2 linked regions of the Diceros bicornis minor genome follow. The protein of the gene in region 2 binds, or shares a complex with, the protein of the main gene of each other region. Links are inferred from orthologs where the notes say so. Each region holds a gene or a part of one and is shown on either strand. Other genes may lie near its edges. The genes, in order: UNC13A and RIMS2.

The links.
Region 1: the proteins of RIMS2 (region 2) and UNC13A are in contact, whole or in part, in a crystal structure (PDB 2CJS), measured with the Rattus norvegicus proteins. The link is inferred for Diceros bicornis minor from reciprocal best matches to the Homo sapiens genes RIMS2 and UNC13A. Residues at the interface, in XP_063118965.1 of Rattus norvegicus: Asp102, Gly103, Cys104, Ser109, Gln112, Val123, Leu125, Ser127, Asn128, Lys129, Val134, Met135, Trp136; in NP_074052.2 of Rattus norvegicus: Tyr23, Ile36, Trp65, Leu69, Ile70, Trp71, Asp72, Thr73, Met74.

What each region holds. Positions count from the first base shown.
Region 1 is NC_080759.1:5,531,828-5,547,146, reverse strand, and holds the start of UNC13A (protein unc-13 homolog A), read left to right. Parts: upstream 1-8,955; coding exon 8,956-8,962; intron 8,963-9,108; coding exon 9,109-9,124; intron 9,125-9,563; coding exon 9,564-9,691; intron 9,692-13,135; coding exon 13,136-13,165; intron 13,166-13,797; coding exon 13,798-13,897; intron 13,898-15,319. UniProt on the Homo sapiens protein: Plays a role in vesicle maturation during exocytosis as a target of the diacylglycerol second messenger pathway.
Region 2 is NC_080760.1:21,613,584-21,628,534, forward strand, and holds the start of RIMS2 (regulating synaptic membrane exocytosis protein 2), read left to right. Parts: upstream 1-7,771; 5' UTR 7,772-8,188; coding exon 8,189-8,364; intron 8,365-14,951. UniProt on the Homo sapiens protein: Rab effector involved in exocytosis. May act as scaffold protein. Plays a role in dendrite formation by melanocytes.

The sequences.
Region 1 (15,319 bases), on a different chromosome or scaffold from region 2:
TCACTCCACACTCCCAAATCAGTTCCAAGAGGGGCCAAGATTTGACTGTAAATGACAAAAATATAAAACTGTAGCAGATGCTATGAGCATGTCTTTATGATGCTGGCGCAGGGAAGAATTCCTTACACAAGACACAGTGTGTGTCCATCACAAGAAAAAAAATTGTGTAACTATGTATGATGATGGATGTCAACTAGACTTATGTGGTGATCATTACACAATATATACAAATATTGAATCATTATGTTGTACATGTGAAACTAATATAATGCTGTATGTCAATTATATCTCAATTTAAAAAAAGACACTGTACATACTGCAAAGGAAAAGATTGACCAAGTTGAAGAATTTTAAATTAAATCCCCAGTGGCAGAAAGTAGATTAGTGGTGGCCAGGGGCTGGGGGAGGGGGATAGGGAGTGACTGTTAATGGGTGCTAGGTCTCCTTTTGGGGTGATGGAATGTTCTGGAACTACATAGAGGTGGTGGTTGCACAACATTGTGAATGTACTAAGTGCCACTGAATTGTTCACTTTAAATGGTTAAAATGGTATATTTTGTTATGTGTATTATATGGCAGTAAAAAAAGGAATTTAAAATTAAGAGCTTCCTAGGGGCTGGCCCAGTGGCGTAGCAGTTTGGTTGGCGTGCTCCGCTTTGGTGGCCGGGCGTTCACAGGTTCAGATCCCGGGCGCAGACCAACGCACCGCTTGTCAAGCCATGCTGTGGTGGCGTCCCACATAAAGTAGAGGAAGATGGGCACAGATGTTAGCCCAGGGCCAATCTTCCTCAGCAAAAAGAGGAGGATTGGCAACAGATGTTAGCTCAGGGCTGATATTCCTCACAAAAAAAAAAAAAAAGAGAGCTTCCTAAATACTCTGCTCCAGGAAGTGGAGCATAATTCCCTCCCCTTGACGGTGGGCTGGACTTAGTGATTTGCTGACAAAGAACAGAGTAGGGAAAGGGAAAAATAATAACTTGACAGTGGATAAACTTGGTAGACAGCACCTTACCCAGGTGATCAAAGTTAACGCCCCCTGTGATGTCATGTGGGCAACAGGGACCTCTGATGTGATATGACCGGAAGGGAACCCCATCTCTGTGATATTCCCCCCAAACCCCAGAACCCCAGTCTAATAATGAGAAAACAATTAGCTGAACCAGAATCAAGGGACTGTCTACAAATACCTGACCAGTACTCTTGAAAAGCATCAAGGTCATGACAAACAGGAAAGGCCTTACTCACAGATAGGAAGCGACCAAGGAGATAAGATGGCTAACTGCGATGTGGGATCCTGAGCTAGATCCTGGAAGGGGGAGAACATTGGTGGAAAGGCTAGTGAGATATGCAGTCTGCAATTCCGTTACTAAGGTGTCAGTGTCTGGGTTTTCATTTTGACATGTAACCACACACAAGATGTTAACATTAGGGAAGCTGGGTGAGGGGTATAGAGGAACTCTCTGTCCCTGTCACAGCTCTGTACCTCTGCAACTTTTCTGTATGTCGAAAATTTTCCCCAAATAAAAAGTTTATTTAAAAAAATAAGAGCCTCCATTCAGAAAAGGACACCATAAATAGAATCAAAACAAGCCACAAAACTGGAGATTTTTACAACACACGAAACCAACAAAGGATTCATATCTAACATGGATGAAGAACTACGAATCCATTAGGAAAAGACAGTCAAATTTTAAAAAATGAATAAAAGACTTGAACAGGCATTTCACCCTATGAAGAAATCAATAATCACATAAAAAGTTCCACCTCATGAACAATCAGAGAGCAAATCAAAACCAAAATGTGGCACTGTTTCACCCCTCCACTTTGGCACAAATCAAAAACCTGGACAATTCAAAGTGTTGGCAAGGCTGTGGAACAAAGGAGCTCTTATGTGGTGCTGGACACTGTGAACTGCTGGAACCACACGGAAACTATACATATATGTGTATATTTACACATATATGGAGGAGGACTGGCTCAATGAGCAGTGTAGGTCCAAGCCCAGGATCCGAACCTGCAAACCCCCGGTCGCTGAAGTGGAGCACTCTGAACTTAACCACTGTGCCACCGGGATGGCCCCGAAAAACAATTTGGTGTTATCTTGTGTGGCTGAGCAGGTGGCTGCCCTATGATCCAGCCATCCTTACCTGTGTGCACCAGCCTGCACTTCTGAGAATGGTCATAAAAGCTTCATTTGTGATAAACTCAAAGTGTAAACAATCTTAAGGTCCACCAACTGGAGAACAGATAAATAATCACTGGTGTACTCATTCAGAGGAATACTATACAGCAGTGAAAAATGCATATATTACAGCTGCCCACAGAAACTCAGATGAATATCAGCAGAATCATGTTGAGCAAACAAAACAGGTCAGTAAAGAATGTGAACATTTTATTTTACTCACATAAAGTTCAAAAACACAAAAAACCAAACCATGTATTGTTTGCTGATAAATAATATGGGGTAAAACTCTAAGGAAAATTAAGGGATTAAAAAACACAATCTGGGGTAGCTCTTCTTTCTGAGGGGAGGGACAAAGAGATAGGGGAGAGGCCCACGGGTTTCTGCTGCAACGGTGATGTTCTTTATTCAAGCCTGTCATTGCTGCTCCTTAGTCCTTACCTATAGCTAGTCGATAAGCAAGAAACACAAAATCAGTGAGAGTTACAACAATGGTTAACATTATTCATTACTATTCCAAGCAATTTCAGGTGTCAACTTACATAATCTCTCCTGTAACTCTGTAAGGCAAGTCCTGTTATCGTCCTCATTCTACAGAGAGGGAAACTGAGGCACAGTGGTCACATGACTTGTCCAAGGTCATGCTGGTGACTAGAAGCAGAACTGGGTTTTGAACACAGGCCTCACTTGCAACTACTCCCTGTACATTCCGTGTTTATGCACCTCCTTCCTGTGTGCTGGGGGCGGCAGCTCTGCAGGGCTCAGCCTCTGGCGCTGCTCTAGGCACTGGAGATACACCGTCCACAGGTTTGCAGGGCGCTGTCCCACATGGCACTGCCCAGCTGGATACGTGGAGAAGGCTCGGAGCAGAGCTGTGTCGGGGGGAGTCGGGGCCAGACCAGAGGAAGGGCTGGGGCCTGGGGGAATCCAGAAGGTAGAGTAAAGGCTCAGTGTGAGAGAGTCAGGGAAGGCTTCCTGGAGCAGGGAATGTTCAAACTGGGCATTGATGGATGAATAGGACTTTGCCAGTTACATAAGGGAGCGAAGGATGGGACCCAGTCTGAGTGTGTGCAAAGATTCACAGGCTGAATGGCTTGGAGAGAGTGAAACAGAGACACAGAGACCTAGAAAGGACGTGGCAGAGACACAGAGAGACTGGACAGAGAGAGGCTCAGAGGGAGACACATGACTGAGAGACCGGGAGACAAAGAGTCAGAGGAACAGAGAGACCCAGGGAGAGAAAGAGACAGAGGAACAGAGGCAAAGAGACAGACGCAGACATAGAGACAGAGGAATAGAGATATCAGGGAGAGCAGAGAGGCAGCAAAGGACTCGAGAGCCGGAGGGCCCGCAGAGCGACTCGAGGAGAGACGAGAACACGCAGAACCAGAAGGGAACGTGCGTGGAGGCTGCTTTCCGTCCCTCCGGGCGGGGAGCGCCCCCCCAGCCTGCGGCGCCCCCGCCCCATCAGGCGTCCCTGGGCTCCGCCCGCCGGCCCCACAGCAGCGCCACGTCAGGAGCTGTCCGCGCCCCGGTGCTGAACCAAGATGGCCGGCGGCGGAGGCCGGGCCCCGGCGTGAGCCGAGCGCGGGCTGCAGCCCCGGCCATGACCCAGCCCAGCGCCCGCTGAGCCCGACCTGACAGAGCCGGCCCGCCGGCGACTCCGGAAACATGTCTCTGCTTTGCGTTGGAGGTAGGAGGCAAGGCTGCGGGGCGGGGTACCGAGGGAATCCGAATTGGGCTCGCGGTCCGTGTGGATGCGGCTGGGCTCCTGAGGGGGTGACCCGAGTACACTCGGCTGGACATTTGAGGCGGTAGCCCTGGTAGACGAGTCAGGGCGCCTGAGGGGGTGATCCGTGTAGACGCAGCTGGGCTCTCAGGGGGTCCTGGTGGCTGCTGCCGGGGGTCGTGTGGGCATGGCTAAACGCGGAGGCCCGTGTGGACGCCAGAAGGGATCTGGGGCTCGATCTGGAAACCGTCTAGACTGGGGCATTTGTGTAGACCAGGTTATTAGCAGGTCTCTGAGGAAGGGGCTGGGCTGGGCTGGGTAGTTCGAATGAATCCTGCAAGGTACTCGGAAGGAGTCCTGTGCTGTGGGTCCTCATGGACGCGGACGGGGCTTGGAATTCAAAGAGGAGTGCCGGGGGAGGGGTCTCCAAGCCGCAAGCGTATACGATTTGGGTAAGGGGGCTTGGCCATCTGGGCAAACGCGAGCTCTAGGAATCCCCCAGCCCTGGGTGTGGAGAGGACTGGCAAGGGGCTGAGGAGACCCCTCCCTACGTCCTGAGAGGGCGGTGATTGGCGGTCTGGGGGCGATTTTCCGGTTAGCTCTTTGACTTCCCGAGTGGGGGCTGGGGGACCCGCCCGAGGCCTACCCTCCCCGCCCCCTCTAGCACGCCGCACCGCGTATCCGGCCTTCTCCGCAGGGAGCCGACCGCTTGGCGGCGCAGTGCCCCCTGCACCCCTCCCGGCCCATCCTCACCTCACCCACTTTGCGCCGAAGGGAGGGGGGAGAGGTGGGGTGGAGCTATTTTGGGGCCAGAACGCCATCTGCACCGAGGCCCACGCCCAGGCCCACGCTCTGCGTTGGGGTGGGGGGAGGGAGAGAGACTCTGGAGGGGCATGACCATGGGGGTGGGCATCACCCCCACCTCTGAGGCTGGGCTGGGGGAGAAGCCAGCCCACCAGGACCCAGGCGTCCCGGGCCCTCCTGCCGAAACGCAGGCTCTGGGAGACCTTGGGCGGCAGGGTGGTGGCGAACAGATAGTTAAGGCTTGTAGCGATCTCAACCTTGGGTTTTAAGGACTAAGGTCCGCCCCTCTCACTCCTACTCCCTTCAAGAAGGCTGGGAGTGGGGGGGTGGGAGGGGAAGAGGTGTGCCCGCCAAGCCTGAGATTTCAAGCTTCGGGAGACCTCAGGCAGCGGGAGTGTGCTGTGTGTGTGTGAGCGACAAAGCTGAACCCCGGGCTCCGCCTGGACCAGGGTGGGCACGCCCCGGAGCCGGGCACCGCCCCCGCCGCCCCTCCCCCTCCTTCCCCTCCCCCTCCGCCTCTCCATTCACAAACCCAGCCCCGCCCGCCCGCTCCTCGCCGCCGCAGCTTTCCGGGTGCAGATCGCGCCGCGCTGGGCCGGCGTGGACGCGGGTGTTCTTAAAGGGATAGGGGCCTCCTTTCCCTGAGCTCATTCCCGACGGGCGGGGCTGGTGGTGGGAGAAGGGCCGGAAAGATCAAATGTCAATTCTTCCAGCCCCTGGCCTATGGAGTTAGGGGAGGAGGGAGGTGGAGGGTTAGACTAGGCCTAAGGGGAGGGGAGGGGAACGTCCAAGCCCCCTATTGGCCTCTCTTTCTCCTCTAAGTTGCCCAGCGCTTGGGGGGTAGCATGGAAGAGGGGGCCAGTGTGGTTGTTCCTGGCTGATTCCTCCACCCCCTGGAAGGTTTGCTCAGTGAGGAGGGGGAATCTCACCCTTAACTCTGACGCAAACAGGAGGCTGGGCTTCGGGGGTGTTGTGAAGGGGGGTGGTAAGAAGGGCAAGGCTTCCAGAAACAGAGGCCTGAGGGAAGAATTGTATTGGATGCCTCTGTGGAACTTGCAGGGAAGGAGTCCCCAGCAGAGTGGAGGGGGTTCCTGAGAGGGAGAGGCTGGAGCTGAGGTGGGGAGTAAAGCCCTGAGGTGTGAGGGGAGCAGTACAATGCTGGCAGAGGCTGAGGGGGAAGCACTGGGAGGGGTGGGGGTGATGCCCAGAGGGGGAGAATGGGAGGGGAGAGGGGAGGGGCAGCAGTGGAGCTAGGCTGGAGGGGGCTTTCCATGGATCTGAGCTCATCCTTGGGGTTGAGGAAATACCTGGCCCCCGAAGCAGGGGCCCACCCACTTTGCCTGTCCCTGCACACACGTGGGCTGGCACATTCATACCCAGACTCGCCCTGTGCAGACAGAAATGCTTAGGATCCACCAAGGCTCCATGAAGACCACGTGCCTGTGACTACACATGCCTGTGGGAACACACACATACACGTATACAGGACGCAGTCTGCCACCACAGATGTGGCTTCTGCAATGCAAGCGTGTGTGTCTGCACGTGCACACACAAGGATGTAACACATGTGTTTGATGTGTTCACGATATCCACGTCACATAAAGATCTGCTCATGCAGGGGCCGGCCCGGTGGCGCAAGCGGTTAAGTGTGCGCCCTCCGCGGCGGCCTGGGGTTCACCGGTTTGGATCCCGGGCACGCACCGATGCACTGCTTGTCAAGCCATGCTGTGGCGGCGTCCCATATAAAGTGGAGGAAGATGGGCACGGATGTTAGCCCAGGGCCAGTCTTCCTCAGGAAAAAAAAAAAAGAGGAGGATTGGCAGATGTTAGCACAGGGCTGATCTCCTCACCAAAAAAAAAAAAAAAAAAAAAAAAAAGATCTGCTCATGCCCTAACTTGCAGGCATGTACCCATGTATACCTGTTAGGGCTCCAAATGCAGAAACACGCATGTGCACAGAAACCCCTGCTGAGGCACGTGTGTGTACACACAACAACACTTGCCTGGACATTTGGAGCAGCCCCTTGGAGCAGGCAAATGGTGATGCACACAGACACATGCTAATGTACATAGTCTCACATGAGCATGTACATGTATGCAAGTAAACAAATACACATGCCATACAACTGCATAGCACACACATATACATACCCCAAAGTGTGTTTCTGCCTAACACATCACCCGCAAGCCCACACATACCATGCCAGCGTGTCCCACACACAGTCACACCCCACTCCCCCGCGCACGTGTGCAGAGCCTTGCCTGCTCTCAGATGGTGCTCATGAGCACATGTCCCTCCACACAGGCACACCCCCATGTCCACACACATGCCTGCCCTGGTAAGAGGAGCAAATACACATGTGAGTGCACACAAAAGCAGGCTCTTGCGTGCGTGCCCTGCAACAACACATGGAAGCCCACCATGTACAGGCCTTCTCTCTTCCCCCACTTGTTTCTTTATCTCGGTGGAGTTCCATTGCTGACCGGCCCCCATCCACTCGCTAGGTCTTGGCAGAGTTCTGAGGCTGCAAATGCCAAGCACCACCTGGTTCCTTCATGAGTTCATTTGTATATTTACTCAGTAAGCATTAGTTGAGCACCTACTATGTGCCAGGCACTGTACCTGACTCTGGGAAGCCTGACCACTCCTGGGCTTATGCTGGTGGGTCAGAGTGGGAGGGGCAAGGAAGGGCTGGGGAGCCAGGGAGGGGCCGTACAGAGCCTTCCCTGTTCCGCACCACCACCACCATTTGCCTGGGTCTCAGAAGATGAGGGGGAGCTAAGCAGAAAGGAGATGGTTGTCTAGGTGGAGGGAAATGTGTGAAAAATCGTGGTGGTGGAGATTCAGTTCTAGACATTTCTATGTGCCTCACAGCATTTTGCCAGGTCACTCAATGTTTTAAAGGCCCCAGAAATATTTGATAAATGGATATTGCATGCAAATTAGTGATTGCATGTGAGAGTGAGTTTGCCCCACAACTAATAATAATATCAACAACAACCCCCACTTATCCTTCATTCTACAGGCACAGTGTTGAGGGCTTTTAGGCTCATTGCTCTCTTTAATTCTCACAGCAACCCATTTTACAGGTGAAAAAAACTGAGGCTCAGAGAGATTCAACAACTTGCCTGGTGCCACAGAGCCAGAGGTGTATCTGCCTGGCTTCACAACCTACTGGGAGTGGGGAGTGAAAGTGGAGCGTCCTCTCACCCCCAGGACCTGGGAGACACCCAAGTCCCTTCCGGGGGCTGAGAATCTGTCCTGGGATCACCTTACTTCATCCACTCAGTAAACAAACATGTCATGATCTCCCCACTCATCATGGCTGTTCCCCTGCTCCTCTCCCCCTTCACAAATCCCTCTGTCCTGACTGCCCCGCTTCTGATACCACTCAGTCAGTGGGGTGTGCATCTGGGTCTTTGGTCTCACCATCCTCATAGGATGCCCTGCAGGGTTGGCTCTGATTCATCTTCAGGGCAGCAATCTTAGCTGCTTCCATAACATGAACCCCACTTTCCTCCCACATACAGTGGACTTCCTCTGTGAGGTTGCAACCACGACATCCTCAGTCCAGCAGGTCCGGATTTGAATCCCTAAATCCACCACTTCCTGGCAAGTCCCATACCCTCTTCATTCCTCAGTGTGTCCATCTCTAGAATGGGCACATGCATAGCACCTACTGCCTAGGTTTGCTGGAACTGTCCAGTGAGATGAGGCACGCAGAGCCGTTGGCACGATGCCTGCTCTGTGGAAAAGTTCAATAAGTGTGAGCCAAAGACAGGAAAAATCAATGATGATGTTTTTATTAATGGGGACTAAAAGCTTTCTGGAAGGAGATCCGTGGGTGTAGAACATTTCCTGGGAGCTCACTGTGTTCTCAAGCCTGAGGAGGGCTCAGTAGTACACAGGGGGCGGAGGGGGGGCGCACAAAAGAGGTGCCAAGTTCACTGGAGGAACACGGGCAGGGACGGAGAGTTCAGCACCGCGGACAGCGCAGGGAAGGCGATTACAGGACCGCGGACAGCGCCTGCGCCTCGGGGTCTGGGTCTCAGGGCAGGGCTGCTGCAGGAGGACATGACGCCATTCCGTCAGTGAACGCTATTTGTGAGCACCTACTATGTGCCAAGCCTAGTTCTAAGTGGTGCTTGGTAGACAACAGAGACAGACACCCCTGTCGAGGAGCTTGGCGTGTTTGTTTCTCACACAGAGGCTTCATGTGGGCTGTGGCTCATTTTGCCCATGGACCGTGAGATGCATCTCCCTCAGACGCAAAGCCCGGGGCCAATGTCTTTATCACAAAGGCATGCCCGCCATCGACATCACATAGGAAACTACCAAGCGTCCTAGAATCTGTGTCTGAATTCTCTATGCTTCCCCCCCTCCCCCTTGTAGTGTCTTCTGACACTCAGTGAGCGTGTCCTGCAGGGGGCTTTCGGACTGCTTCCCTTGATGGCGGGATCCTCTACTCCCCCACCCCCACCCCGGCCTGGCAGGCCACCGGCCAGGTGCTCCCGGATTGGAGCCCACCTCAGTTAGAGTCCAGGGCAGGCCAGGCTAGGGGCGCACTGAGAAACCAACCAAATAATAAAAACGATAGTGACACTAGTCATGTTAAGGGTAATAATAATCGTAGTAATGATAGTGTAATAACGAAGATGCCAATAATGAGAAGATGAAAGGGGAGAGGGAGAAAGAGAAAGGAAGAAGAGGGGAGGCGGAAGGGGAGGAGAGGGAAGTGAAACCGATGAGCCCTACCTCGCCCCATTTCCCGGATGCAGAAACTGAGACCCAGAGCGTGGCGGAGCCTGAGTCCCTGCTCCCGCCTCCACCGGTTCTGCCCTTGCCAGCATCTGCATCTGCCTGTGCAACCATGTTAATCACGCAGCGCTGACGGGGGCCCGGGAACGGCGGAGGCCGCGCAGGCTGCTGACCGGGCGTGACGTGGCGTCTCCTGGCGCCCGTCAGAGAGCCGGCGGTGGGTGCCTCCCCCAGCCGCACTCCCCGCCGTCGCATCGGCCACGCCCTCCGCGCCCACGTTATAAAGAGTCTCGTTATAAATAGCTTCCTGCGTGTGACCAGGAGCTCGCCGGGAGGGGTGGCGCTTCCGCCCCGGTGACCCCGATACTGCAACCCGCCGTGAGCGGGGGAAGGTGGCAGGGCGGGGATGTGATGACGAAGGTGGTGAAGGCGACAGTGACAGGGTTCTGCTTACTGACGGGGAAGAGAGAGGAAGAGAGACTAGGTCCTTTCTCTGAGCCCCATGGGCCCCTCCCTGAGCCCCCTCCTTCCTCCAAGCTCTCTCCTCCCTGGACCCCTCCCCTGAGACCACCTGCCCCTCTGTGCCCTCTCCCTTGTTGCGTCCGCTCCCCCACCCTGAGCCTACTCCGCCCTCAGAGCTCCCTTCTCTTAGTCCCGCCCCTCCTCCCCCATCCCCCATCCCCCATACCCCACGGTGAGCTCCCTACCCCCCTGAGATCTCCTCCCCACTCTGAGCCCCCTTCCCTGATTCCCCACACCTCTCTGGACCCCCTCTCTCACCCTGTGTCTCCCCCTCCTCCCTGTGAGTCCTCGATGATGAACATACCTTGGTCTCCTTACCCTGGACTCCCTGAAGTGTCCTGAGGACCTGAGCCTGGCCTCAGCTGTTAGAGCTAGGGCCCTCCAGCAACCCCCACTGCCGGTGGACCCCAACAAGCCCATTACCCTCTGGCTCACGGAGGCTTAGGGAGGAGGAAAGGGGGTAGACGGAGGGAGTGGGGACCAGAGAGACAGAGATAGAGGGAGAAGGGAAGGAGAGACAGAAAGACAATGACAGAGTGGAGAGAAACAACTGGAAGGAGGGAGACAGGGAGACCCTCCCTCCAGAGGAGAGGATGGAGGACAGTCCTTGGTGGACTGGCTGTCCCTCTCAGCCCTGTCTCTGGTCTGTAAAAAGGGAACGCAGAGCAGGAGCTGCAGGGTGGGGCCCACTCCTCGGATCCCCCCAGGGCCTGGCACCTACCGCCCTCAGGGTCCCCCTTCAACTTTTCTCTCCTACTTCTGCCTCTCGTGTCCGCAGTGTCTCCCCTGCCTGGAAATCTGTGTTTCTCTCTCTTCTGTCTCTCTGTGTCTCTGACTCTCATGTCTTGTTATCCCCTATCCCCCTACTTCTTCCTCCCTCCTTTTCACTTCTCTCCCCATGTTGGTCCCTCTGTGTGTGTGCCTTTCAGCCTCTGTCTGTGTCTCTCCCTCCTGCTGGGCACAGTCCTAAGTGCTCCAGGGGTGAGGGGCTGGGGGGTGAGCTCCCTGTGTGCTGGGTGGGGCTGAGGGTATGAGAAAGGGTCAGTGGGACAGAGGCTGAGCATATGTCCAGAGAGGGGCCTTTGCACAAGTAGTCATGTACCTTGAGTGGGAAAGTGAGGAAGACAGGACATGGTGACAGATTTTGGGTGTGGGGGAAAGAAACAGAGGGGAGAGAGAGAGACAGAGAGACAGAGAGAGAGAGAGAGAGAGAGAGAGAGAGAGAAGGCCAGACCTAGAAAAACAGGGAGAGATAGAGACAGAGATGGAATAAGGCAGAGATGGAAGCCCAGAGAGGGAGGTTCACTTGCCCGCAGTCACACAGCACCATAAGTGGAACTCAGCTCCACCTGACCGCACGCTGAACCCGTGCCCACCTCTCCAGTGCCCAGCCAGGGCTCCATCTGCGTCCCACTTCCCGAATCCAGACCCAAGTGTGAAGGGCGTGATGCCCAGTCCATTTGCATTTACGGGTCTTTTCGGGGGAGGTTGGTGTTGGCATCGTAAGGTGCTTGTTCCCTCTCCTGCTCTGAAACTTTGGGGAGCTCACTCAGTGCTTCTGGGCATCAACCCCACTCACTCCCACACGTGCACATGCACACTGCCTGTCTGTGCTGGGAACAAACAGTATTTACTGACAAGTGTTTAGAGTCCGCCCCCCGCCGCTTCCCCGATGTGATGGGAATTCTCTCATCGTGGGCTCCATTCAGGTGCTTTTTCGAGACAGAAAGTCAAGTGATGGAGGCCGAGATGCCAGCTGGAGATGGGAGGCCGAAGCATTTGCCCAGAAAAAGACCAAACTTGACTCTCAAAAGAGAAAAAAGAACAGAAACACAGTTCTGTTTCTAGGAATTTATCTTTCAACTCACTTGCACACACTCTTCAAGACATACTGAGAAACAAAGCTTCTCAGAGGGCACAGGAGGCTGTCCTTTGTGCAGGAAATGGAATCCCGTGCCTGTGCGCGTGACTGCCGAGGCCCGGGCTGTCTCCCCAGGTCCACAGGGGCTGGTCGTGTGGCCGCGAGGGAGGGTGGGCGCTGGCGTGGAATGAGCCTTATTATTGTATCATCTTTGCCTGCTTTGGATTTTATAAAATGTGCATGTATTGCCTATGCAAATGAAAATATTCATTTGAAAAGGGAAAAGGGAAAGAAATTCGGAGAGCTGGAGAAGAGGGTTCTGTTGGGAGCACGCTTTGGTTGGGGGTTGAGAGGGAATGGTGGAGAGAGACGTTGGGTGCAGCTGCAGGGTGCCAGAGATGTTGACAGTGAAAGTTTAATATCCTGGGAGAAAAGCCAGAGGAGAATTTCTTTGAATCACCCGGGGCTGTGGGGTTATGTGAAACCTGAGAAACTGGACCGCAGGGGCCCTGAAATCTACTCGGGTTACGCTTTTCACAGGCGCGTTGGGCTAGACAAGCTCTAACCACCTCCCAGCCAGTTCTGGGATGTCTCTACGTGCACGATGGAGCCAGCTCTCTGGGCTGTTCTGTTCCACCTCGCCAGTCGCCTTTGAGCACTGGACCCCAAACCCTGGGAGCATTTGGTATGACAGAATGAGCTGGACAATTAGAGGAGAAGTCTCTCTAGCTTGACAGGGGAGTGGGGCCGTTGGAGCTTGTCCTTCTCTTCTCTGCTCCCCTCTCCTCTTCCCCAACTCCCCTCCTCCCTCTGTGCAATCCTGGAGGGCTTCCTGTGGGAGGCCTCTCCTGCCACCTGCACAGCTCCTTCTTTTGAATCTTGTTCAATTGTGGGTAAAGGCACAGCTCAGGGTGGTGGGGGGAGCTTAGGGAGTGGGGAGTCTGATGGGGAGGCGGAGGGGCAGGGACTGCTCCCAGGGTCCAAATCCCCTTCCGCCCCTAGATCTGCCTGTGCGCACCCGTCTGACTCTTCTCTCTCCCCCTCTCATCCCTGCCTCCTTCCTCTCCTTGTTGTTCCTCCTCTCCTGGTCTCTTTTCTCTGTCTCTGATTTCACCTCTGTCTTTATCTTGGTTTTTTTTTCCATTTGGTCTCTCTGTCTCTTTTGCTCTCTATCTTTGCCTTGCTCTTATCTCTGTCTCTTTCTTTCTGTGTCTCTCTCCTCCTGCCTCTCTCTCCCCACCCCCTGTCTCCCTTCCCTGTCTCTGTCTCTCTCCACAGTCAAAAAAGCCAAGTTTGATGGCGCCCAAGGTAAGTGGTGTCTATTCCTGCCCTGTCCTATGTTGTCTGTCTGTCTGTCTGTCTGACCATCTCTTGGAGAGACCGGGGAGGGGGGCTGAGCCAGTGAAGTGTCTCTACGTCTGCTGACCATCGCGGGGCGTATCAGACTTGGCCTGGGGTCCAGCAGTCTCCCTTGGCCCCCTCGGAGACCCCAGGGGGTGGGGCTCACCCTGAGCCAGTGGCCCTTCCCAGGACCCTAAGAAACAAGGTGGGGACTTTTTGATCAGGCTACATGTGGGAAAACTGAGGCTCAGAGAGGTGAGGGGAGTTTCTTATACTCAATTTTGTTCCCTTCTCTGGGGCCTCAGTCTTCCCAGCTGAAAACTAAGGCTATTGAACGTGGTCATTTTTAAGCAGCAGGATTAGGCATCGCCAAGTTCCATGCACCGAGTCCCTGCACCGAGGCCCCTCCCTGGTGCTCAGACGCTGGCAGGGGCACTGGGGGCTGGCCTTGGGGGCAGGCACAGAAGCGGAGCAGTATGTTGGACCTGGGGCGGCGCCAAGCACACGCAGCCCCTGGGGGATCACAGTGGGTCTGGAGCTTGGGACGGTGTCTGGGGGGTGCGCAACCCTTGCCCTGACCTCTGTTCTCACCACCGCAGAGAAATTCCACACGTACGTGAGCCTGAAGGTGCAGAATGTCAAGAGCACGACCGTCGCCGTGCGGGGAAGCCAGCCCAGCTGGGAGCAGGACTTCATGTTGTGAGTCCCCGGGCCAGCCCCAGCCGCACAGCCCACCCCGGCTCAGTCTGGCCCCTCGCTGGTCCGTGGGGCGGAGCCGCACAGCCAGCTGTCGTCTGAGACTCCCCTCCCTCCCCCTCGGCCCAGCGTCCAGCCGTCAGCTTTGCCTCCAAAGCTCTTCCCTTTATCTCGAGGCCCCCAGCCAAGTCCCCGCTGCCTGCCAGCCTCCACCCTGGCCTCCTGCTGACATCTGCCTCCCGCAATCTGTGCTCCTTCAGGCAGCCAGGGGCATATTTTTAAAACTGCAAATCACATCCTGTCACTCTCCAAACTTGCCCACGGCTCGTGGCTTGTCAACCTTAGAATAAAACCCACACGCCTCCCCCCAGCCACCCCTCCCAGACCCCGCCCCTGGCACCTCCTAACAGTGTCTCCCTCCATCTCTCCCAGTTCACCTGCCCCAGCCACGCCCACCTCTGCACCATTCCTCCAATAAGTCCAGCTTGTTCCTGCCCCGGGGCCTTTGCACTTGCTCCTCTCTCTCCTTCCTTCCCCCCCCCCCAACTGGCTCTTTTTTGATCTTCAGGTCTCAGCTGTGTCACCTCCTCAGGGAAGCTCTCCCTGACGGCCACCCCAAGCTGCAATTGAAGAGTAATTTCAGACCTTGCCACCAATTGTCATTTTAGTCATTTGTGTCATTTTTTGACACATTTCTGGCCCTACCCCCAGAGTGTGAGCTCCAGGAGGGTAGGGCCCAGTTGGTCTCTGTCCCCACTGTGACCTCCATGCCAAGCACATGGCCTGGCCCACAGTAGGTGCGCAATAAATATTGGCATAATAACTGAATGAATTCATGACCTGGACCCTCCCTTCAACCTGGAGCCCCCGGGGCCTCATATGACGTCCCATCTACTCTGATGATGGTCCAAAGCTTGCTCCGTGCCCTCTTCTGAGGTTGTGATTACGTCTTTTTGCCCACGACCCCAGGAGGAAGGGTGCTATTGTAATCCTCATTTTACAGATAAAGAAACAGGGCCAGAGAGGCAAAGCCGCCTGGTCAGTGTCCCACAGCCTGTATCTGGCAGAGCTGGGATTTGGCCCTGCGCAGAGCCCGGCTGGGGACAGTCGGTAGTGGAGGCCACGAGAGAACCGAGAGCTGGGGTCCTGGAGCAGAGGGGCTTCTGGAGAAGAAGGGAGGAGCTGGCCCTGCAATTCTAGGGAAGATTGAGGGGGGAGGTACAGGGTGGTCCCCAACTCTCCAAAAGCCAGTTACTGGATGACCAGGTCAGTCAACAGATACATTCAGGGATAACATTCCTTAAGATAAATCTTTGGTAACTTCAGTGAGTGGACGTTCACTAAGGTTTTCCCCCAAATCTGCAAATTTGCAGGGTGGGGCCTTCAGGGCCGGTGCTTAGAGGGGAGATCATCTCATGCTCAGGA
Region 2 (14,951 bases):
ATATGATAGTTTTTAGGGAGCAGTTTGGGTTAAATCTAACTATTTTATGATGCCTATTATATTCCAGACGCTGCAGTAAAAGCGTACTTAGATTTTAGTCAGGGAAACAGAATATATACATATAACCATATTAAGCAATTATATACAGTGGATTGAATACTGGACACGGAGCCAGGAGACCTAGATTTGAAAATTTGCCTTGAAATTCAGTCTCTTCCTTTGATCAAATCACTTAATCTCTCAGGCTGTTTTCTTACCTATAAAATGGAATGATACTAATTCTTTATAGGGTGGTATGAGAAGGTGGTAAAAAATGTGAAAGCAGCTAACATAGCTAACATAACAAACAAATGCTTGATAAAGGGTTATCTGAGTTTGTTGATTTCCTAGTTTAATGAAAGGCAGCCAGAGTGGAAGTTAGAGACTCTTATTCTCTTCCTAAAAACTTGTATTATGAAGAATTTTTTACTACCTTCCATGGCCAGTTTTGCCTCATTCATACCCCCATCCATATTGTTTTGAAGCAAATCTCAGATATCACATAATTTCATCCATAGGTATTTCGGTATGTATAACCAAGGATTCTTTATTTTTTAACATCATCACTATATCATTATTAATCTAAAAAACCCCAATAATTCCCTATTATCATCAAGTACCTAGTTACTGTCCACATTTCCAATTCTCTTATAAAAGTTTTTTCCAGTTTGTTTTTCTTTAAATCAAGGTCCAAATGAGGTCTACCAATCCTTGCACTTAGTTGATGTCTTTTAAGTTTCATTTAAATTATAGATTCTCCCTCCATCTCTTTATTTTTTCCTTGCAATACATTTGCTGAAAAAACTGGGTTTTGTCCTGTAGAATGTTCTGTAGAGTGTTCCACATATTGCAATCCTATGGTACAGTTTAATATGTTCCTCTGTTCTCAGTATTTCCTGTAAATTGTAGGTGGATCTAGAAGATGTTCAAATTCAGGTTTGATTTTTTTTCTTTTTTTGGCAAGACAACGTCACAAGTTGTGTTGTGTTCTTCCATCGGAAGCACATAATGCCAGGTTGATTATCTTTTATGATGTTAGCAGCTATTGCTATTTAATTGATATTTAATGCCTAGATCTATTTGTTCATTATGGGTTTTTAATTTATTTCTGATCTCATAAAAGTCACTTTTTTTTTTACTTCTGTAAGTGGTCAGAGTTGTAATTAAGACGAAGATGTAATTAAGGAAATAGTAACATTGTTATGTCTATATGTCCCAACCTCTAATATTGTCCTATTTCACTTTAAAGATGTGCTCATTGATTGCTAGGAGGGAACAAAAAATAGAAATAACTTTATAATGCTATAAATGAAAGATGACTAGAATATGGTTTTCCCGGATCCTTTTAATATAAATGGCTCTATGGTTTTTATGACATAATAATTAAAAAATAACATCCTATATTGCTAAATACACAAAAAATAATTAATAAAACTTATCTACACTAACATCCACTACATTTTTCATTACTTCTTGGCCTCAAATCCCAATAATTAAACTGTACTAATCTCTAGCTTCTTTTCTAGAAACAAACAATGTATTCTTTCTCTGAGGCTGTGCTCTTCTGTTATCACTAATGTAACACTGTTATTTTAATTTAAAATGACAGTACAGTCCTATAATCATAGCTAAGCACTTTGAGTTACTTTTCCACTTACACTGAATAACTTTTGATACACCAGTCATATTCTTCCACCCTGGTCAAGCAATAACATGCTGTCATCTGACAACTGGCAAAGATTAACAGTCAGCTGTGGCCACTGCACTGACTGACTCACCCAGGGATTTAAACCATGACCTTGGCCTCATTATCATGCTGTTATAATCTACTGAGAAAAAGAGCCAGAAAAATAAAATATGAAGACAGGAAGTAAAAAATTCTGCTATTTGTGTCTCCAAGCCTAAAGTACTGCACATCTGTGTCCTTTCAGTAATTCTATTAGCGGGTGTTTTAGATATGGATGGGGAACTAAAGGCAGAATATTCTCCTGAAAATCAAAGCTGATCATGTCAGTTCTCTGGCTAAGAAAACCTCCACTGGCTGTCTAATGACTGTAGGCCAAGTTCAAATTCTTCAGCAAAACATATAAGGTTGTAGCATAATCTTGCCACAACCTATTTCTCCAGGTTTATCTCTTGCTACAACTCCCTTCCTCCTTCTCTTCATACTCCAATAATGGTGATTTTTTTCATTATTTTGTGACTGCTCATGTAATTGTGCAGTGTATATTTATTGAGTCCCTATAATATACAAGACATATGGCCTAGGGGATAGGCCTTGGGGAAACTGGAGTGAAAGGCATATTTCTGGCCCTTAAAGGATTCATGGTCTAGTTGAAGAGACAGACAAGGAAATGAATGGCTACACCACTGTGTGACAAGTGCTATCTGTGAGCAAGGTATGTGCAGTGCTAAGAGAGCCTGGGGCAAACAGGTGGAAGGAGGAGAAAGGGAGGGATGAGCATATGGTGGAGAAGACAAAGAAGTTAGCTGACTGAGAGGAAGGTTATGGGAGAGTGAGTAGAAAAGGTGAGTCAAGCTGAGGGAATAGAAAGTCACAGAGATGAGAAACCACACATCCAGTAAAGTGCAAGTAGGTTGTCATGGCTGAAGAGAGAGATGTGATGGTAGGCTGGGTTGGAGATAAGGCTACAGAGGTAGGCAGGAGCTGAATCCTAAAGGAACCTATATCCCTTGACAAAGAGTTTAGATCTCACTTCTCTGCACCTGTGCTTCCCTCTTTTGAGAACGCTTTTTCCTTTTCTCCCGCCCAACTTAAACCAATAATGATGACAAATTCTCTCCCCAGAAATTCATTGAACAAGTATTTGTTGGAACACCTACTATGTGCCATGTACTGTCCTAGGTGCTTGGGATACATTAGCAGAAATCCTGCTCTATGTGCTTATATTCTAGTAGGGTGAAGTTGATGAGTAATAATAAACATAGTAGGTTGGGATATTATTCAACTTGGAGTAAAAGTAAAGTTGTCAGAGAGTGGCAAGTGCAAGGGAAAAAAGAAAAAGTAGGGTAAGGTAAAGGATGTCGGAGTGATCATGGAGTGGGTGGGGCAGGCTGGAGTATTAAATAGGAGGGATAACTGAGCAAAAATTTGAAGGAATATCCAAGTGAATATCTTAGTGAAGAGTGTTCTAGGCAGAGGAAACAGCTAGAGGAAATCCTAAAAGAAAGTAGTAAGAGATGAGGTCAGAGAGATCATGTGAGACTTGTAGGTCATTTAAGGAGGTTAGTTCTGACTGAGTGAAATGGGTAATCACTACAGGATTTTGACCAGTGGAGTGGTATGATCTGACTAATGTTTTAGGAGGCTTGATCTTTACGTTGTGCTGAGAAAAGACTGTAGAGCCACAATGAAAGAAGCGGGGAGATCTGTTGCGAGCAACCATAGAAATGCCAACTATCTATGTATATTCATGTGCAGTAGGAGAGTTGCAATGATTCCAAGCATTGTGAGGCAGCCAGATATCTCAGAAGAGTATTGAGTCCTCAGTAAATTCTAGTGATGTGATTATTTTAGTTTAGATATGTCTCCTATAACGTATTTAGTTGATTACAATTAAGTAGCCCTTACTTACATGTAAAAATGAAAGCCCACAGACTCACAGGCTTCACAAACTTGTGTTCCTATAGAAACTGAAGAAAGGACTCACATTTTGGAATTACTTTGTGGCCTGTCAAGAAGACCTTGAGAATTCAGTGATGAAGATGGCCAGTTACTTTTAAAGTTAAATAAGGACAATGCAGTTTCAACTCAACTTTAAACGTGTTCATGTATTTGAGGTACATACCCAAGTAAAACAATGCCACACAGAATACAGTGAGATGTGATAAACATTTTAGGTAAAATGCTAAACCAGAAAAAACAAAACAAAACACCTCTAAGATTCATATTGTAGTAAAATCAAAAGATAGAGATCTTTTGAAGATATTTCACTTTAGTTCTGAGCATACTATAGAGCATAGCAATGCTCAATCAGAGCATTGGTTATCTTACGTTAAATTGGGCCTACTACATCGAAAAGTAGCCCATTTAAAATTCTGTGTGATATATATTCTATCTATAGGATACATAAATACTGTGGCAAATTTTTATTTTGAAAAAGTGTATGAATCAGGATGGAAGGTGAATTTAAGATACTTCCACTCCCCAGGCTGGCCGGGCGGTGTAGTGGTTAAGTTCATGCGCTCCACTTTGGTGACCTGGGGTTCGCAGGTTTGGATCGCAGGCGTGGATAACGCACCACTCATCAAGCCATGCTGTGGCGGGTCCAATATACAAAAATAGAGGAAGATGGGCACAGATGTTAGCTCACAGCTAATCTTCGTCACCAAAAAGAGGAAGATTGACAGAGGTTAGCTCAGGACCAAGCTTCCTCACACACACACAAAAAGATACTTCCACTCCTAAAGATTCCCTTTAATAGGAAAAACATGTAGTTGTAGTAAAGAAATGTAAAAAGGAAACACAGTAAGAGTAAGCTCACTCACTTCTGCTTCAATCCTGTAAGAAGTCTGATGTTCCAGTGCTCCCGGCTCATGCACATTGTATTTCATATGCTGGGGCTATCTCCGGGGAGGTGAGAGGCAGTGGGAGTGCCAGGAGACAGAGCCATAGACACCCAGCATGCTATGCAACTGGTAGAAAACAGTGCAGGGTCCAGGACGTGACTCTCCACTGTAAAAGAAGCCAAAATTGTCCACTTTGGACAACCACTTTTAAGTTCACATTTTATGTATGTACTCAAAAGAACTAAGCTATTTTAAACTCAGAGTTTTAGCTTCAGAGTAATGTGTGTATTCTGGCTTCTGTTTTTGCCTGAGTTGATAGTTGGCTGGGGGGTGGAGGTGGTGTTACTTCTTCAAATCTGGCTCAGGAATAGTTGAATAAGTTAGAGTGTTCCACCCATCCTTTTTGATTATTTTTAGTTCTGCTCTCCTCTCTTTTAAAGGAGCTCTTAGTGTATTTTAGTAGCACTAAAATAGTAGTAGTAGGGTTTCCTAGGCTAAAGTCTCAGATACATGTATTTACTGGTACCTGTCATTGCACATGAGTGGAAAGGAAAATGTGGATATTATTAGAAAACTCAACATTTCAATTTTAGATAAAAAAAATTCAGTCTCTCTAGAAGTGTTCTTTTTGCTTGTTTTCGACTTCCCAGTTTCTCTTCCATTATCTATTTTGCAGTGCACATAGTGTAGTTCTCAACCTTTGCTATACATTAGTCACTTGGAGAACTTTCAAAACATACCCACCACCAGGGTCTTAACCCCAGAGATTGATTCATTTGATCTAGGATCAGACCCAGGTGATATTTTTAAAAAGTGACCCAGGTAATTTTAATGTGCAGCCAGGGTTGAAAACCGCCATGGTTTCAAATTGGAGTCAAATTATCTAGGTTCTAGTTGCAGTGCTGCCATTTACCAGCTGGCTGATCTTAGTCCTCAATTTCCCATAGAGTGATGAGGTTAGATAAGAGATCTATAAAAATTCTCTAACTCTAAATCAAAATGAAATATATTGGGATTCATATGATCTCATCTAGTTTGCTCAGCTCCAAAGAGATGAAAACCAAATTATTTGGAGTATGTGAGTTTGGTTTGAACCAGGCGAGTAATAATAACACCACAAAATAATAAAAAGAGCTCTTAGGCAAACTTTTCCCTCTTCCCTCTTACCAATTACAAGGTATGGGAGAAAAGAATAGAAATTTAAGCTTAGAAATCACAAGGGGCTTGTAGGGCTGCCTTGTGTGTCCCCAGCTCTCTCACATTGGGAGCTAGTCAGATGGTACCTGGGGAACAGACGGAGGACGGAGAGAGCTTACTACACACCAAAAAGGTAAACATAATACAAACCCCAAAGGCCTTAATCAGGCCATAATCTGGCTTGGTACTAAACAGCGCGAGTGTGGAATGCGGGGTAGGGATGTGTACATATATGTACACACACACACCAACTCTTGTCATCCCCTGCGCTTGCCGAGAGCGCCCAGAAGAGGGGGTGATCCCTGGCGAACAGCCCCCAGCCCGGTCCACTCAGGCCTCGCCTCTACCCTGCCCCGCCCCCACCCGGAGGGATGTCTGGGCGGCGCTCAGCCCCACCGCGAGCAGAAGGCGGCGGCGGCCACTGCCGTTCCCCGGGAGCTGATTTTCCGTCTACCCTCGACCTCTTTCACCGAACCCATCTCTGTGCTTGGAAAACCAGACTCCGACTCTAACCCGATCTCCTCGCTTTTTCTGCTTCTTTATGGACTAGGCCCGCCATAAAGGGTCAAAAGGACCGAAGCCCTTAGCCCAAGCGCCGGCTCATCCTCACTCTCCGAATGATCCTTAGTCCTTGCACCCTCACAGCCTCTTGTCTCCTCCTCATCCTCACACTTCACTCAGACAAACCCTAATTCCCCCAATCTCACCTCCCCACTTCTCCACGCTCTCCTACGTGCTCCCCTCGGTCCCTTTCTGCACATTCTTTCCCAACAGTCCTCGGTTTTCCAGAACTTCCACAGCCCGGTGCCCCACGTCCCCTGCCGCCGCGCAGTGTCCCAGGTCCTCCATATCACTTGCTTTCCCCATTTGCTAGACCTCCCTCTCCCTCCTCTCAGGTAACCCTTTGTGCCCCGCCCCCCATCCCTGGGGACCCCCCTCTCTCCACACTCACGCTCTGCCTCCTTCCAGGACCCCGCCCACGACACCTCGGGAGCCCGTCAACGCGCTCACTCTTTCATCCCCGTGCCCAGATGTCCCCAGATTGTTCCCTCCTTTCCAAAATCCCCGGCGCCCCCAATCCCCGGTCACAACCCATCTCCGGACCTGACACTCTCCCCCCAACCCCCCCCCCCCGCTCCCACTCCTTTACCTCCCGACCTGACCCACAGGGCACTCCCGTCTACCCTGGCTCACAGTCGTTCCCCGCTGCCGACTCCTCGGGCGCCCCTCACACGCTCACATTCTCCACACCCCCGCCCTTGAAAACTCGCCGCCCCCCTCCCCCCTCACACTCTTCCCTCCAACCCCTCCCCGCCTGGCCCCACCCCACAGATCGCGCCCGGGAGGGGCAGTCGCCGCCCGCGGGGCGCCCGCCGTGCCCGGGCCTGGGCAGCCGGGAGGTGACGCGGCCCCCGCGGGAGGAGCCCAGGAGGCGGAGGAGGCGCGGGCGGCGGCACCGAGCGGCGGCGGCGTACGGCGTGAGCCCTGGGCGCCGACTCCACGGACCCAAGGGGCGGCGGCGGCTGAGGGACCCCGGGCGGGCGCCTGATGAGGAGGGACCAGCGCCCGACCCTGCTACGCGTCGGAGCTCGCTTGCTCGTTGGCAGCCGAGGGGCCCTGGCCTCGGGACTCTCCGCCGCTGCCCCTTGTCATCCCTTCTCCGCTTTCGCTTCTCCTCTCTAGCTCGGAGGGATCTCTAGGGGCCGGCCTGGGCTCCGCGGCCGTCTCCCCTCGGTTTCTGGAGGGGTCCTCCTCCGCGGCGCCTGGGAGCCCTGTGACGCGTCAGCCGGCGGGACGGCTGAGCTGCTTCTCCGGGAAATTAGCCCCTGCCTCCTCACTTCCCTCTCCGCTCCTGCCTCGGCGCCCCTCCAGCTCGTGGGACGCTGCCTCCGGGCGCTTAGAGCGAGTTCCCGGGACTCCCCCCGGGGGCCGGTTCGCAGCTACCCCTCTCCCATCCCAGGCGGCGCGCGTATCCCCCGCCCCCGCCGCGGCCGGACACACTCGCGCTTCGGCCGGCGCGCCGCCCTCCAGCCCGCTCCCTTCAGTCACCCCACCCTTAGCGGGCCGCGCCACCTTACTCCACCACCCTCCCCCGCTGCTCCGCGCACTCCGCATCCCGGCCCGGCCTCCTGCTCTCCCCCGCCCCCCTAAACCGCTCACTTGCCAGCCCGTCGCCCCCGGGAAGAAGAAACATTTCCCGGAGCGCACTCTTCAGCCCTCCCTCCCCCCGTGCTCGCCTTCCCCTCCCCCCGGTCTTTCTTTCTTGGGGGAGGGGGGCTGTCGCCTCGGATTGAAGGCCATTGATTTGTATGTATTTGTCCCAGCGCCGGAGGCTGCCCCAGCCGCCCGCGCGGGTGCCGCTGCCGCCGCCGCCCGTGGAGTTGCCTCTCTGCTTCCCTAGCGTGGTTAGGCTCCACCAAACATGTCGGCTCCAGTCGGGCCGCGGGGTCGCCCGGCTCCCACCCCGGCGCCCTCTCAGCCGCCTCTGCAGCCCGAGATGCCCGACCTCAGCCACCTCACGGAGGAGGAAAGGAAAATCATCCTGGCCGTCATGGATCGGCAGAAGAAAGAAGAGGAGAAGGAGCAGTCGGTGCTCAAGTAAGGACCCGGCTCCATCTTCCCGCTTCCCTCCCTGCCCTCCGCCCCCTCGGCCGCTGCCGGCCGCCTGCGCGCCCCGGATCGCCGCCCTCCCTCCCACCGGCGGCGCCTGGGCCACGAGGGCTGCGGCCGGCGGCGGCCGCCGGGGCTGCTTTCTGGGTGTCACAGCGCGGAGGTGTGTGTCGGGGAGGGAGGGCGCCCAGGCCGGCTGAGGTGAGGGTTGAGAGCCTTTGGGCGTTGTAATTTTCCCGGGCGTCCTTCTGGCTTGCCCGGCAGGCCAGTTCGGCTCTGGGGCCGGGTGGGGCTGGGGCTGAACCCAGGCTCAGCGCGTCCTTTCTCCTTTCCCGCCGCCCCCGCGCGGAGCAGTGACTGGGGCAATGAATCCAATATGGCCGTGCACAGGTGCTCCCAGCCCGGGACCTGGCGGAGGCGCGCCGGCCAGGGATGCGGGCGCCGCCGGGGGCCCCTCGTCCCGCGCCTCCGCAGGGCGACTCTGCCCGCGACGCGGAGAAGAGCAGAGCTGCCCACGGTCGCCGCGGGCAGGAGGGCGGCGGTGCGGGCAGGGGCCTAAGCTCTGTCGCGTCTGGGGTGGGTGTGAGGCCGCCGCCATCTTCCAGCCCCTCCCCCTCGGCGGGTTCTAACACCCTGCACTCTTGCTGCTCTTGCTGTTTGCAACTAGTAAATCTGTTTAATCCTGAAGAGACTGTGAAGAGACTCCAGTTCCTACCATTACTGCCGTTGGGGATGCTTCCTACCCTGTGAAGTTCTACTATTCGCGCTCCTAGTCTAGGCAGCCAGGATTTTGCCCAGGGTGGGAGGGTGAAAGCAGCGCCCAGGCAGCGGTTTAGCGGCCGTGTAACTTCAGCACCAGGGAACTGTCCAAACGGATATCTGTAGCTCGGAGACTCCTTGTCAGTTTAGCAGAGATTTGTTTCTGCAGGTTTGCTTTTAAATGTTTTATAGTTATTTGATTTCTCAGTTACTATGTGAAAGAGATTGTGCAGATGTGTAACTTTTTTGTGTTTTTCCAACTCAACTTTTTTTTTTACTTGAAATGAATTAGTCGCTAAGAGATTACCTTGTCCCGTTTGTATGCCAAAGATGGGACGGTTCTTTTGTGTGTTATAAAATATACTTTTCCTATATTCTCCACAGAAACACACAATTGAAAGTGTAGAGTTCCTCTCTGAAGGAACTAACACACTGATATCTTATCATGTAAATTTTAAAAACAGGTTGTTGAATTCAGTATTCTTTAATGCACTTATAAAGAAACGGTTCTCTGTCTCTCTATATTTTCATAGTCTAATGAAAAATACTACTTTAAGTAATTTATTATAGGTGTATCAAATATCTGTACATATTTGAGAGAAATACTGTTTCTCAAAAAATATTGAGGGACTAGAACAAATGTATTCTGACATATTAACTGAAATAAAAAAGAATTGCTTCTTCAAAGCTAATTTCTGAGTTTGAATACTTGTTTGGGAATGTGATTTATTAGTAGGCTTGGGAAATGAAAAAAGGTTAAGAGATTTAAGTAGCTTATTTCAACTAATGGAAGAATAAAGCATTATCTTTAAAAGCTTTTTGAGCATACTCCTAACTTTGCTTAACTTTACTATATATGCTAACAATGCCAAGCTTTTGATGACTTAGAGTTTGGTAATTAGATATATGAATCCGTATTTTTTACTGTAATTGCTGTAAAATTAGTGTTGCCAAAATGAAGCTCAAATAAAATGTAGTTTTATTTCTTTGACCCATGTGTGTATTTAAATATACAATGTGTTTTTCTTCATAATATGCTAAATCGTGGTATTTATTGGCTAGTTCACTATAGTTCCAAATCTATTTATTGTTCTAATATATAGAAATTTAAATGAACTTTTAAGTATTGAATTAAGAATTACTCAAAATGAACAGTATATTAATATAGGAAAATGTTGTGGAAGGGATTTTCAGGTAGCTACATGTGCATATATTACATTTCTATGTAAACCTACATACTATGCAAATACGTATAATGTTTGTGTGTTCATATTTGCACAGTTTAGGTAGAAACAGACATTCTCTAAACATATATTCATACAGTTTATGAAATTACATTGATGAAAAATCTATTCATATTTATTTTAAATATTTATTTGTATTCTACCTAACTTAGTCTTGGAAGGGTTTATACCTCAAAATGGCCTGCATGGTTTCAGAATTATTTTTATATTCATTTAAAAAGAAGTGATTTGGAGGTTAAAGCATGATATATTTGAAAATTTAATTTTGAACATTCTTTAAAAATTCTTTTGGCTTTTGTAATAAGATAGGAGTAGGCAAGGAAAATGAGGAACAGAATAGACTTTATAATGGAATTATAATAGCGACAAATCCTTTTGAAGAATTTGACAATTTATTAAGTAATATATTATCAATATTGGGTATTAAGTTACAAATACTATATGTAAGAAAAAAATAGTACTAGTATTCTTCAATGATTATTATTTCCCATCAAGTTTTAGGGCCCATTTATCTGGTCCTGACTACACTATCTTTTGTTTCTCTTTAGTGATGTACATTTAATTGCATGTTAACATCTATTCTGAGAGAAGGTCATAGGCAGAGAGAAATAAAGTGAAATTCAAATTCATGTCTCCTGCCTTTTAACAACTACTTTAAAAGAGAAATTTGATGTATGAAAAAATGAAGCTGTGGGACGAAAATATTTTTGCATGATCTGTGAGTTTCAATATTTATATCAAGTATTCATAAAAAGTGGAATATGCATGCCTAAGGGCATCAAAGATGATATATTGGAGTACAGGAAGAAAATATTAAAACTTATATTTACATTTCTATTTTTATTTGAAAAAGAAAGAAATTAAGGTTTACTGATACTTAATATATAGATTGACAATATTCAGATGCATTTAATTTATAAATAAATATGCATATATTAAGAGGTTCATGCCTGAGATACTTTTAATGAGATAGGTGAGCCAGCAAAACAGATTGAGACTGCTACAGTAATCTTTCTCTTTAGGAGCCTGAATAATTAAAAACTATTTATATTTAATTATTAGCAATTTCTTCAAAGCCTAGCTGAACATCCACATACCCAGGAAATCTTCTGTCACCATCAAATAATACCATTTTACATGTGAGTGAGATACTAGAATTTTGGAAGCATTTCTATATCTCAGTAGGTCCCTCAATAGATCAGTAATTACTTTTTTTATCCTTACATTAATTCCTTTAACAGTTTTAGTTTGGATAACTCAGTCTATCAGTAAAATCTATAATGTCCTTTTACTGATTAATGTTTTTAAGCTTTGTCTTTCAAGACTGTAAGCTTCTTGAGGGCAAGAATAAAAATGTACTCTTCTTTAGTGTTTGTGTTTTGCAGCATCCTTAACACCTGCACACAGTGGGGGGTACCTAATAAGTGATGTTGGTTTGACTTCTGGTAATGTTAATAATGTAGTAATCAATTTTGTTGGAAAAATGAAGAATAATTTTTTTGAAAGAAAAGCATAATTTTTTAAAAGTTTATATTTTCCAGTGAGGGTTTTTTTTTGGGGGGGCGGTGTGGTATTGTGAAAAAAATGTATGCGGAAACCAAACCCACTGAAATCAATAGAAAAATATTAATTCAGTAAATATTTATTGAATTTCTACTGTGTGCATATCATAGTCTTTTAGATGAGGTGTTTTTGTAACAAATTAGAACTTATGTGTTTCTTGACATGTAAATTATCTTTTCATTCTCAGCTTAGACTTTCTGTAAATGTCAAAGGCATGATTTGATCTCCAAATAAAGGAAGACAACAAATAAAAATTTCTGTGATAGATCAAGGTAATAATTTAGCTTATATTTAAAAGATAGGTGAGCAGTTCTAAATTTTTTTTACTAACTTAATTTTAAAAGTACTTTCCACAGTCAATTTATAAACATCTTTATTGAATAGGTAATATGTAAATATGGTACAAAATTTCTTAGCTACCTGTTTCCCATAGCCAGGGGCAGCTGCTGTTGCCAATTTATTGTATACTCTTCCAGAAATATTTTATGCATAAGAGTAAGTATAGGTGTATATCAGATATTGTGTGTGTCTTTATATGTGTGTATGTGTGTGCATGTACATGTATGGGTGTATATGTGTAAACATAAAAAACACAAGTGTGTCCTGCAGTTTACTTTTTAGGAGGTCAGTTCCATACTCGTTAATATATTTCTGCCTCATGTATTTTAATGGCTGCATAATATCCTATATTATGAATGTTCTTTGTTTAACTAGTACCATATTTTGGGGCATTTAAGTTGATTCTAATTATTTTGCCATTAGAAACAATACTGTGATAAATATCTTTGTACCTATATCATTTCCTGCATGTGTGAATATACCCCTGAGATAAATTCCTAGAAATGGAATTGTTTGGTCAAAAGGTCAGTATATTTTAAATTTTAATAAATATTGAGAAATTTACTTTCATAGAGGAAGTATGCATAAGTGATATATACTAGGGAGACTTTGTCACATCCTTGGTGTGTGATAATCTTTGCCAATATATTGGTGAAAAATATGCCATTGTAGATTTAATTGCAATTTTCTTATTATCAGTGAGGTTGAGAGCTTTTTACATTTGTTTAGAGCCTTTTGAATTTCTTTTTCTATTGGTCATTTTTAATGATTTGTAGGAGCTCTTTATATGTCATTTGTTTTATAACCTTGTTTATGCCTTTTTTTACTGGGCAGGATTTTTTAAAAATGTATGAATTTATTTTTGTTTTACGGTGTTAGGGTTTGCAGTATACTTAGAATGATCCTCCTTATTCTAATATATAAAAAACTACTGCCTTTTCTTCTTATAGCCAAATGAAATTTTAAGAATGTGGCACATCAGATAAATGATGCAATTTAATCATGAAAACTTTTAAATAAAAATCATTATTGTGCATATAAATTACCATGGCCATTGCCAAAAATTGAAAACCTATAGTTTTTAGGGATTCAAAATGCATTCTAAAAAATTGATTGGCATTTTATGAGAAGGTACCTAATAAATTCTTTATATATAGTTTATATTTTAAAGTAACTAGGACAATTAAATAATATCTTTTTGTTGAAAATATATATTGATAAAGAACTAATTATACTGTATGAGGAAGAGAGAGGTAGTGGAGGCAAGTGTGGTGGACCAGATGGATTTTGACTTGAAATCTTACTTTACTAATTAATAACTGTAAGGTCTTGCTTACATTATTAAACTCTCTGAGCCCATGTTTCCTCATCTATGTTATCTGAGTAAGAACACCTACTTTGAAGGATTATTGTGATCAATATAGACTGTTTAAATGTCTTGGCACAAGTGGGTGTGCAATAAATAGTTGTTATTAACTGGTTATAGACAGCAGTCTCTTAATCTTAATATTATCATAGCATTCCTGGGTGAAATCTTCTCTGTTTTATATATATATATTTTGTGTGTGTGTGTGAAGAAGATTAGCTCTGAGCTAACATCTATTGCCAATCCTCCTCTTTTTGCTGAGGAAGATTGGCCCTGGGTAACACCCGTGCCCATCTTCTTCTACTTTATATGTGGGACGCCTGCTACAGCATGGCTTGATAGCGGTGCATAGGTCCGTGACCAGGTCCAAACTTGCGAACCCCTGACAGTGGAAATGGAGTGCTCAAACTTAACCACTACGCCACCAGGCTGGCCCTGCTCTCTCTTTTTTTTAATTGAGAGATTCTTTTCCTTGTCTACTAGGAAGTCAAAATATACCTGGAGGACTTTTCAGTGACTTCACTTTTTATCTAGAAGGCTAGGGATGGGGAAAAGGAATGTGACAAATTGGAAGCAGTTTCCTCAGCAAAAACCATTCTTAGGGAGTCTGATAACTAAGGTGTAGCAGTGAAAATAATACTGACACCGTATTATTGGTTATTGCTAAGATCTTGATTGTTGTAGGTGAATGTGAGGGAACTAATTTGTGGAAATTACTCTGTGATTTTCCTTAGATTGGCCAGGAAACAATTTTTTACTCTTAATAAATCAAAATATGTATTTACTTATTTGTCTTATTCATATTGTATCTGAGAACTCAGAGAATCTTATTAGGTTAATCCAATTCTGAAGTGTGATTATTAGAGCTTAGAATGCTCATCACCTTTACATTGCCCTAAAATACACGCAACCTTTGTATCACTGCCTCTTTCTCATCCTTCTGGCCTTAGCTTCAAATTTGCTTCCTTAGAGAGCTCTTTCCTGACCACACTTTCTTTAGTAGGTTTTCTCCTTTATTCTTTATCACAACATCTTTAATATTGTCCCAATTATACTTATCTAAATGTGCAGTGATTTCTTTATTTGTTTATGGGCTGTCTACTCTGCTGGATTATAAATTCCCAGAGAGCAGACACCATGTCTGTCTTGTTCACTCTTTCAGCCTCAGCTTCTCATCTAATACAGTGCCTTACACATAATAGTACTTAAAAATATTAGTTGGGTGAGTGAATGAAACATTGGGAATAAAACACTATGTTTATTTGGATAGTGCTTGCTTTCAAGATGAAATTCAATAATCTAAA